Caenorhabditis elegans: one gene and its partner. The protein of the gene in region 1 purifies or fractionates together with the protein of each later gene. This does not show direct contact. Each region holds a gene or a part of one and is shown on either strand. Other genes may lie near its edges.

Region 1 (6,442 bases):
TTTTCCATTTTAGTGCTGAATTTCAACAAATTTATTTTCGGTAAATTGCTGGTTTGCCGAATTTTTTTCAATTTTTTTTTGCCAGAAATTTTCAATTTTCAATTCTGGCAAATTGCCGGTTTTCCGAATTTGCCGGAAATTGTCGATTCCGGCAAGTTGCTGAATTTTCAATTCCGGCAATTTGTTGAATTTGCCGGAATTTTTAATTTCCGGCAAATTGCCGGTTTGCCGAATTTGCCAGGTTTTTTTTTGGGATTTTTTTTTGCCAGAAATTTTTAAATTTCAATTCCGGTCAATTGGCGAACTTGCCGGAAATTTTTAATTCTGGCAAATTGCCGATTTGCCGGAAATTTTCAATTCCGGAAAACTGCAGGTTTTCCGAATTTGCCGGGTTTTTTAAAAACTTTTTTTTTGCCGGAAATTTTAAATTCCGGCAAGTTGCTGATTTTGCCGAAAATTCTCGGCAATTGCCAATTTTTCAAATTTGCCGAAAATTTTCAATACCGGCAAGTTGCCGAACTTGCCAGAAATTTTCCATTCCGGCAAATTGCGGAATTTGCCCAAATTTTAAATTTCGGCAAATTGTAGAATTTTCCGGAAGTTCTCATTTCCGGCAAATTGCCAAGTTTGCCGAATTTTTTTCAATTTTTTTTTGCTGGAAATTTTTAAATTTCAATTCCGGCAGATTGCCGAATTTGCAGGAAATTTTTTTGCTCAATTTGCCAGAAGCTTTTAATTCCGGCAAGTTGCCGATTCGTCAAATTTGCCGGAAATTTTCCATTCCGGGAAATTGCCGGTAGCCAAAGTTTCCGAAATTTTTAAATTCCGGCAAGTTGCCGTATTTGTCGGAAACTTTAAATTCCGGCAAACTGCCTAATTTGCCGGAAATTTTCAATACCGGCAAGTTACCGATTTGCCGAAAAATATTAATTCCGGCAAATTGCAGGTTTGCCGAATTTGCAGGAATTTTTTTTGCTCAATTTGCCAGAAACTTTCAATTCCGGCATGTTGTCGAACGAAATTGCCGAAAATTTTCCGATCCAGCAATTTGTTACACTACCGGATTTTTTAATAATTTTTTTGCCGGAAATTTTAAAATTCAGGCAAATTTTCGAATTTGCAGGAAATTTTCCATTCCGGCAAATTCGCCAAATTGCCGGAAATTTCTAATTCTGGCAAGTTGTCGAACTTGCCGAAATTTAACAATTCTGGCAATTGCCGTTTTGCCGACAAATTCGCCAAATTGCCGGAAACATTCAATCCCGGCAAATCGCCAAATTTGCCAGAAATTTTCGATTCCGGCAAATTGCTGAATTCACCAGAAATTTTCAATCCCGACAAATTGCCAAATTGCCGAAAATGTTCAATGCCGGCAAATCGGCAAATTTGCATATATGGCCTGAAAACGGCAGTTTTTGAAGGAAAATCTTCAAAAAAAAATTTTTTTTGCTCGTGTTTTTGACGTTTTCAAGCATTTTTGCTCAAGTTTTCACTGAATTTTTGCACTTTTTCAGCTTCCAACTACTCACTTAACAATAGGACCTGCAGCAGTGGCAATAAGCTGCTCTCCAGGCAAAAAGAGCACCGATTCAACAGGATGCTCGCAATCGAGTTCCAATGATTTCTCTTTACTTCTAATATCCCATAGCCGAACTTTATGATCATAACCACCAGTCAGTACAATATGATCATTAATTGATGAAACTGCTCCACATCTAATCGCATCTTCATGTGCTTGAATTTCAATTATTGGAACGGCATTTACTCCGTAAGCCGTGTCTGCCACTCGATATTGCTTGATTTTTCCGTCATCGGCCATTGAGAAGACAGTATCACCACGTGGAGAGAAATGAACACTTTTCACAGTTGACTGAGAAGCTTGCATTACACGAAGAGCAACTTTACTCGAGCCCGTCGTTTTTTCCACGTCAAAGATGCGAACTTTTCCCTCGTCACCTCCGATTGCTGGAAAATTAGATTTATATTTGGAAATTTTCCAATTAAAGGAGGGGACTAACGGTTCGGACGATTTTGAACGTATAGGCCCGAAATGAGCTCAAATGAATGAATTTCGTAATGAAACTGCTCAACATTTTTTCAAAAATTTTTTATGGCGGTTCAAAAAATTGGAAAAAAATTTGACTGATTTTTGCTAAAATCTCCAATTTTGCCCATTTTTCTGTGCTACATCTGTCCGAAGTTCGTTCATTTTTTTTGAAATTATCATCCTTTATTGCATATATTGGTAGTTTATCTCATTTAATTTCGTCGATTAAAGTATATTTAAAGCCGATAGGTAACCAATTTTGATGATTTTTGGTTACCTATCGGCTTTAAATTTACTTTAATCGACGAAATTAAATGAGATAAACTACCAATATATGCAATAAAGGATGATAATTCCGAAAAAGTCAACTTCGGACAAATGTGACACCAAAAAATAGGCAAAATTCGAGATTTTAGCTAAAATCAGTGTAATTTTTTCGAAATTTTGAACCGCCATAAAAATTTTAGAAAATTTTTTGAGAAATTTCATTAAGAAATTCGTTCATTTGAGCTCATTTCGGGTCTATACGTTCAAAATCGTCCGAACCGTTAGTCCTCCTTTAAAGGATTACTGTAGTTTTCGCTACGAGACCCTATTTTGCGCGTAAAATATGTTGTGCAATACGCATTCTCAGAAAGCGTTTTTTTCGGCATTTAATTAAATGTAAAAAAATTGTCGGCTTTCGATCCGAATATTTTCGAAAATTTGAGAGAAAACTTTATTTTTTCAGTATATATTTTTTAAATCGGATTCTAAAAATTTCCGAATTTTTATCAAAAATTAGTGGCGTTTTGGTTGGTTTTTACTTCTTTTTTGAAAATTGTGTGTCAAAAAATATGTAAATTAAATTTTTTTCTTGATATTTCTCTGAATATTTTTCATAAAATTATATTTTTTTTCCAATTCTTGCAATTTTTCTAAAATAGTTTTTCTCAAAATTTGGTTTCAAAAAATCCCGAATTTGTCATTTTTCAAAGGTTTTTTGTGGGTTTTGCCAGATTTTTTATATGTGAATAAATTTTTTTAATTCAAAAACTAGCAAAATTATTGAAATTTGCATTGAAAATCGGGATTTTCCTCAAATTTTAAGCATTTTTAAAGAGGAATTTTTTATTGAAATTTGGATTTTTTCAATTTTTTAGTGGAAAAACGCTAGAAAATCGATGATAAAATTTTTTCTGAAATTTTTCGTAAGAAAAATGTTTTTTGGACATTTAAAGTTTAAAAAGGTGAGAAGTCGAAAAAAAAAATTTGCAATATAAATTATTGTTTTCTAGAATCGGTGTTTTAAAAAATCTCAAATTTGTCTTTTTTTTCGGGTTTTGCCCTGTGAATTTTTTTTTGAAAAATGTCAAAATTTTTATAATTTTCGAACTCAAATTTTTTTTGGAATTTTTCACTGAAAAACGCTTTTTCTAGAATTTTCGCGATTTTTCTCCATTTTTCCAGCTAATTTGCTCACCCAAAAGCCGTCCATCATGTCTAAAATCAATAGAGCATACTCCTTTTTTGAATCTACTAAATAGGTTCAATGGTTCACAGACTACTGTATCGTAGAGTGTTAGACGGACACTGCTAGTCGTTGCCACGTGATACGGCTTTTTCGGTGAAATTCTGACGGAGCTGACGACGGCTGGCTCCTGGAATACGGTGAGTTGTTGCATTCGTTTCCAATAAATGACATCTTCGTCCAAAAGAATTGTCTCTTGTTTTCTGGAGAGAAATTTCTCTGCGGGGAGGTATGGTTGAGCCATTTCTGGAAAAAAAACAATTTTTTTTGAGGGAAAATTCTGAAAAAAACTGTGAATATTGAGAGAAAATTGAAGAAAAAAGTTTCTTTTGAAGATCAAATTTGCCGGAAGTTTTGAATTCCGGGAAATTGCCGAATTTGCCAGAAACTTTCTTATCTGGCACACTGCCGAATTTGCCGGAAATTTTCAATTCCGGCAATTTTTTTCCAGAATTGGTTTCAAAAAACCTTTAAAAATTCTCAATTTGCAAATTTTTGATTGAAATTCGAGAAGAAAAATTGGAGATTTGTGAAAATCGAGAAGTTTCTTTTTTTCAAAAAAACGTGAAATTTTGTTATTTTGCAATTTTCTTTGTCTTAATTCGATAGATGCTGAAAAAAAACCAATTTTTGTAAACTTTAAACTTAAAAAATGGCTTAAATTTCGCTATTTTTTGCTGAATTTTAAGATTTTTGCCCGAAAAAATACCAATTTTTGGGTTTAAAATTAATTTTGAATCAAATTCTGATACCACAAAAGTGAATTTTCTTTTAATTTCGCAAAAAAAAGTACATTACTCGTGCGTTAAATTCAATTTTCTCGAAGCATAAGTCAAAAAAGCGTCTTAATTTTCGCAATTTTTCTTTTCAATTTTTAAAAATGGTTTTTTTTTCTGATTTTTGACCTGAAACATTTTGAACAATTTTAAAATTTTAAAAAAGATATAAAAATGTGCATGATAACACCAAAAGTAACAAAAAACGAGGAAAAAATCAAATAAATTCAACATTTTCTTTGGAAAACTGAAGAAAAACTCAAGAAACTCAAAAAAAAGAATGAATAACAAGTAACAACTCAAAAACAATCTAAAAAAACCGAAAAAACAATAAAATTTAAATTATTTCCTCCCAAGAGCCGCAAGAGCCTGTTGCTCCAAATCTTCCACCTCATCCGGCTCCTCCTCATACTTCCTTCTAACCGCATCCGGATCCGGGAGCCACGAGATATCCGGCTCATCCTCACTTCCATCCTCATCATACTCCACAGCTTCTTCCTCCTCAGCTCTCCGATTCTTCTTCGCAAGCTTCTCCTGTCTCCGTTGCTCGCGGAGCAGCTTGAACCTTTTCCGATCCTCCTTATCGCCACTTTTGATCTCCTGCCGGGCTTTTTCAATATCCAAACCATAGGAGGTGATAGTTGAGGGGCCTTCTTCGAGCTCTTCGAGCTCATCATCTTCTGCTCCAAATGTCTTTTTCGTGTTAACTTTAAGCTTTTTGTTGAGGATTTTCTTCGCCGCCGACACTTTTGTCACTGCTTTTTTGAGCGGTTTCGTCTTGGAAATGGTGATATTTGAGATCTTTTCAGCGGCTTCTTCTTCCTTGATCTGCTCAGGCTCTCCTGTAGGCTTTTTCACTGTGAATATATCCTCATCGTCCTCATCAATTGCGAATTTTCCAACTAGGGAAGCTTCTTCTTCTTCTTCTTTTACTTCCTGCAAAATGTTAAAATTGAAAATTTTATTGCAAAAAATGAAAAAAATAAGGTAAAAAAATAAGAAAAACCGCGCCGCACGGTTGCAAAATTACGCTCCGCCTTTTTTTCTGTGCGGCGCTGCTGATTTTTGCAAAATTTACGAGACCCGACCACGCCCATAAAACCATGCGGAAAATTCAAATTTTGCATACTCCGCACGGTTTCGGGAACAAAAATCGTGGCCACGCACGCCCATTTTTCCGTGCGGCACGAAAAAATGGGCGTGGTCTTGGTTTTCTTTTCACCAGTTCTCCTATCGGTGGTGCCTCGAATTTTGTGCCCAAAACCGTGCGGGGGTAGCAAATTTTGGTTTTTTTCCGCACGGTTTTATGGGCGTGGCCAATCTCCCAGCAGCGTCGTATAGAAAAAGAGGCGGAGCGTAATTTCGCAGCCCTGCGGCACGGTTTTTTTCGAGGATTTTACTCAATAAAGTTTCGATTTTACTTGGTTTATATCGGGAAAAAAAACAGTGTCACACGGTTGCAAAATTAGGCTCCGCCTCTTTTTCTGTGTGACACTGCTAGGGAGATTGACCACACCCATAGAAACGTGCGGGTTGCAAAATTATAATTTTCGGCTCGGTTTTATAGGCGTGGTCAATCTCCCCAACATCTTCGCACAGAAAAAGAGGCGGAGCGTAATTTTGCAAGACTGTGGCACGGTTTTTTTTTCCTTTTTTTTCAAAAAAATTTCGATTTTTCCAAATGAAAATATTATCCAATTTAATTCTTTAAAAAATCTTATAAGAATTCAATTGGACAACATTTTCATTCGGAAAAAACGAAAATTTATCGAAAAAAAAAAATCAAAAAAGGTGAAAAACCGTGCCGCAGGGCTGCGAAATTACGCTCCGCCTCTTTTTCTATACGACGCTGCTGGGAGATTGGCCACGCCCATAAAACCGTGCGGAAAAAAACCAAAATTTGCTACCCCCGTACGGTTTTGGGCACAAAATTCGAGGCACCACCGATAGGAGAACTGGTGAAAAGAAAACCAAGACCACGCCCATTTTTTCGTGCCGCACGGAAAAATGGGCGTGCGTGGCCACGATTTTTGTTCCCGAAACCGTGCGGAGTATGCAAAATTTGAATTTTCCGCATGGTTTTATGGGCGTGGTCGGCCGGGTCTCGTA
Region 2 (4,932 bases), on another chromosome or scaffold:
CCAGTCTCCAATTTTAACGATATCGTATCGGAAATAATATATTACAGTTAATGGAATGCTTGATAACAACGTTCCAATAACTAAAGTGAATCCGAATTTGGGAAAATTAACTTTTCGAAATGCTCTTCTCGTTGAAAACTTCAAGACGATCAGTCTGATTGTGGCCATAACTACGCTGAGCCACGTGGATGTTCGACGGAACAAATCATTAATTACTACATTGATCCAGTACATATAAAAGAATGAAAGTGGTGCAGGTGGTTCACTGGAAGTGGAAAGATGAGTTGATTTAACATCGGGTTACAAAAGTCAAGTACTGTTTACTACGTGATCTCTTTAACTACGATTTAACCACATAGATCTTTTACTACGTTGGGTTACTGTAGTAGTACTGTGGAACTAAGCTTTTGAATAAATGTACTTTACCAGGGTTTCACATTAAATTCCAAAATCAAATAAAGATAGTTATAAATAATAGAGACAAACATCACTAATATATCACAAATAGCGATTCCTATCATTATCAAGATTACGGACGATTTTAACATTGAATTTCGAGATAAAACGAATAAATGGAATGATGTTGTAAAAATCCCAATTGATGAAATTACAATATTAATGATTATTGATGGATGGACAAACTTTCTGGAATTTGACGGTAATATTACGGGATTTTCAAAGCTAAAACTTGCTCAACAGCTATAAGAAAGAAATATAAATCAATTCTAGTCGCATTATCATAGCTGGGAAATGCAGAAGTTGATAAGTTATAAAGAAGCACTCTGTCAATCATTTCATTCAAATTCAGCTTAAAATAACTGAAATAAATAATTTTTACTATATGAATACACGTGGCCGCGAGTTGTGACATTTTGATGCAAATGTTTCACCTGCTTTTCGGTTTGAAGGTCGAGAGTTGTGTGCTGCTTTAAACCCATAACAAGAAAAGTTTATCAGAAAACAATATAAATGAAAGGAAAATAGTGGAATACGGGATAATTTGCAATAAATGAGTTGTTTCATCAAGTGGTGTCCGATGGACCGAAACCTTGAGGTTGTGTTGATCATCGGACACCACAATCGAATTATTTCACTTTGTAGCATTCAAGTAACGGAATTTCGGGAGACAGAGAAGATGGGAAGATAATGTCTGAAAAGGATCGAAAGAGAAACAATGGATTTTTAGGGGGAGAAAGAACAGAAACCGGGGGAAACAATTAAAAACCAATAATTTAATCAATTTAGCGTCTCTTTCCGTACTTGTTCTTGCCACCACGATTTCCGCCGCGACGAGTGTCCTCTTTAAATCCACGACCAGCTGCCAAGTCCTCTTCCCGAATATTGTCCGAATCATCTGAATCTTCGTCTGATTCCTCTTCAGAATCATCGTCCGATTCTTCTTCCTTATCCGATCCTGCCTCTTCGTCAGACTTCTCCGAATCACTGTCTGATGAATCTGAGTCAGACTTTGCTTCTCCGGCCTCTCCCTCGTCTCCGACGTGATCCACTGAAAAAAAATTGAACTTCATTAATTTTCAGCAAAAATAAACTTACAGAACTCAACCTCTCCCTCGTCTTGTTCATCGTTCTCATTGAGCTTGGCGTTTTCTGGGATAAGTCCCTCGTTCTTCAAACGGCGAGCTTCATCTGGGGTGTACTTCAGAATAACATCTCCCTTGTCGTCTTGATAATCTCGGAGACCGACGAGAATGATATCTCCCACGTTGATCCAAACCTTCTTCCTCAACTTTCCACGAATATGGCAGACACGCTGCTTTCCATCAAAACAGAACACTTGAACACGACCGTTACCAAGCATTTTTGAGACTTGTCCATATTCTGGAATTAATGCTTTTGTTTTTCGGGAAAGAAGTTATAAAATCTACCTTGTCCCTCCTCCTTGAGGTCGAGCTCGCGCTTCATGAAGTCGTTCTCATTCTTTCCTCTTCTGCGATTCTTTCCTCCCTTTCCCTTATTCTTCGGCATTGCTGAAAATATTACGAAATAATTTGGAAAGTTGAAGTTACGAGAAATACAGAAGCAAAGAGGACTGCAAAAATTGTAGAAAAAACAAGAACATAAATATGCATAAGGTAATGTCAGATTTCAATGGAATTTAACAAAAAATTAAGAAGAATGAGTATACTATCCCAAAATAAACAGTTTGCTTGGATTTCGTGAGTATTTTGATGAAAAGTGATTTCTAAAAATTGGAAATAATAATTTTATCAGCGCTTGAGATTAAAATTATGTCGTCAATCGACAAAAATAAACAAAATAACAGAAGAAAAATTTCAATGAAAAATCGACGAAAATGTGGAGTGCACAGAAAAGTGGGCGGGGTTTGCTATCGCAAGAGCGCGGCGCGAGGTTACGTAACTGCGGACTTGGCGACACAATTTACGACACTCGCTATTTTTATTTTTTATTTTGCTTATTTTTTATTTTTCTCTCTAAAATTTTGTTGTTTTAACGAATTGTTTTCGGAAAAAAGTTATTCAGAATCAAAGATTACTTCATAGAATATAATTATTGTCCAAAATATAAAAGAATTGTAAGATAAACATCTCAAAACGAACATTTAACCGCAAAAACGTATTTTGGGAAAACAATCACAAACTTTTCACGCAAAAGTGTTTTACCTACATTTTTTTGTAGTTTATTAAGTCACAAAATTAACGACATCATGAAAAATACAGCAGATAATATTTTTCTGTCCGAAAGCTTTCCCCAGTTTAGTTTTCTCCAATAGAAAAACTCCAAGTTTTTTATAGCGTTTTCGAGATGAGCTTTTTTTCAAATTTTCTGAAATGAAGTTTGAAGTTTGTATACAACCCAAAATATATGTTTATCACCGTGCAATATCACAAATGTCGTCATCGCCTTCTGTCCTATTTCGCAATCATTAATTTCCGCAAATCTCTCTGAAAAAGAACTACAATTCCAGCTATTCTTGCATGGGAGAGCCTCTGGTCGCCGAGCCGACAACTGAGCAGACTCCGTTGAGCACAAATTCAGTTGCTTATCAGAGCTCCGACGCGCTTCCAGATTCCTCAGAAGCATTCGGAGTAGAAAACGTTTATCGTGCTTTGATTATCTTCTGTGATAATTATTCGTTGGATAAAAAACAAGTGCGTTAGAGAACATGTTTTTGAGATTTTCGAAATTTTAACGTGAATTATTGTTCTTGTTTCTGTCTAAAATGGCCAAAATTTGAAAATTTCAGGTAGCTCTCGGACTCTTTCTTTCTATTCTACTTTTCATCTTCTCTGTTGGCACTATCATTGCGTGGAATCGATATTCACCAATCATTCAGGAGTTTATCATAAGAGAGAACATTGAGAAAGCGAGAAATAAGAGCAACGAAAAAAATAGTAAGATATTTAACAAGTTCTGCACTGATAACCATTCCAATTTATTTCAGAGAAAGAAGAATGAATAGTTTCAAGAAATTCCTCAACAAAAAGCGAGTCCAGAATCACTTCAAAAAGAGCGGTGAAGGTGTTCGTTTGTCATCCGGCGAGTCATCTTCGCAGCCTTCTGCCCACGCTGGAGCCGCCCAGGGAGGCCAAATTGATCGTGTCGCGGCCGCTGATATTGCTGCTCAGGCTGCTTTCAAACGGATGCAGAAGAATGAACCTCAACAAAATGCTGGAAAACGAAGAATTCAAATGATTGCAAAACGAGAGCTGGAAGAAGAGAGACGTCAGGTTGAAGATCTCAACATTTCTGGGACTTCATCACTGCAGCAACCCGACCGTGAGCAACACCTCGAGCATTCATCCGCAATATCACGTGTTCTCTACACTTCCGAGTTGCTCGGTGAGCATCATATTCGCTCGAAAGCAGATCTTCTTGAAGATATCAAAAATTTCCTTTCTGATCAGATCAGCGAGGCGGATGATGAAAACGATAAAGTGATTGCCGCAGTTTTGATGCTCTATTCACTTAATAAGAAACATCCCAAGGAGGTTTGTGTATGCTCAGAATTTCAAAATATCGAAAAAAAATGAACTCATTCTGGCTAAAATCTCCAATTTTGTCAACTTTTGTGTGTTGCAGCGGTCGGAAAATGTTTTTTAATCTATTGTAATAGTTTCTCACATGTTATAATAACGTTATTTCGTTATTTAGCCAATTTGATCATTTTTAGCTAACAATAGGCTAAAAAAGTTACTTTGTTAACGGAATATTTCGGCAAATTGAAGAGTTTCGCTAAAATTTGCCCGTTTTTTTTTTCTCAAAATTTTGAACCGCCATCATAGTTTTTGTGACATTTTTGTCACATTACCGTTGAAATTAAACTATCTATCCGCAAATTTCGCAAAAATCAGCGTCGCACAGAAAGAAAAAATCAACACGGATTTTTGTAAATCTGCGAATCGGTCGTTTCACCTAAACTGTACGAAATTCGTTGTTTTGGTAGAAAAACAAACAATCTTCTAAATTTCAGACTGCCATCGAAACAATCTGCAAGTATTGTCAAAACATTTTGGAACACCCAGGAGAGGATAAATACAAATCAATTCGTTTGGGAAATAAGGCATTCCAAGAACGAGTTGCATCAGTAGTTGGAGGACGTGCATTCCTTGAAGCTGTTGGATTTACTGAGAAATCTGAAGGAGAAGACAAGTTCCTTGTGTTCACAAAACCATCAGATGTTCATTTGGTGGAGGCTCTGGAAGCTTTGAAGGATGGGCAGGCTGTGCCTATAAAGGTTGCTAGAAATCTAGAGATCTTCAAGCTAAAAGAGGGGCAAAAACCGAAAGCACCAAAGTTGGCAGATGATTTTTACAATTTGTCGACTGCTGAACTCAAAGCCGAACAGAGAAATAAGGAGATGCAGGTGGAGAGAGTGAGTGGAGCTTTAAATTGAAAAATCACACAATAAATTGAATTTTTAGATGCTGACATTGCGTACGAAGGAAATGA

The links. The genes of interacting proteins can lie anywhere in the genome.
Region 2: the proteins of Y23H5B.5 (region 1) and eif-1.A fractionate together in Caenorhabditis elegans (co-fractionation; one large-scale study listed by BioGRID). This does not show direct contact.

The regions. Positions count from the first base shown.
Region 1 is NC_003279.8:2,495,495-2,501,936, reverse strand, and holds the start of Y23H5B.5 (U3 small nucleolar RNA-associated protein 15 homolog), read right to left. Parts: upstream 3,804-6,442; 5' UTR 3,802-3,803; coding exon 3,510-3,801; intron 1,966-3,509; coding exon 1,530-1,965; intron 1-1,529. Other genes in the region: ddx-10 (ATP-dependent RNA helicase), read right to left, coding at 4,676-5,269.
Region 2 is NC_003282.8:4,807,990-4,812,921, reverse strand, and holds eif-1.A (Eukaryotic translation initiation factor 4C), read right to left. Parts: upstream 1,989-4,932; 5' UTR 1,987-1,988; coding exon 1,887-1,986; intron 1,840-1,886; coding exon 1,555-1,839; intron 1,508-1,554; coding exon 1,242-1,507; 3' UTR 939-1,241; downstream 1-938. Other genes in the region: srw-95 (G-protein coupled receptors family 1 profile domain-containing protein), read right to left, coding at 1-265, 427-645, 693-793; H06H21.37 (uncharacterized protein), read left to right, coding at 2,958-3,131, 3,227-3,374, 3,425-3,438; ubxn-6 (UBX domain-containing protein 6), read left to right, coding at 3,435-3,971, 4,454-4,855, 4,905-4,932.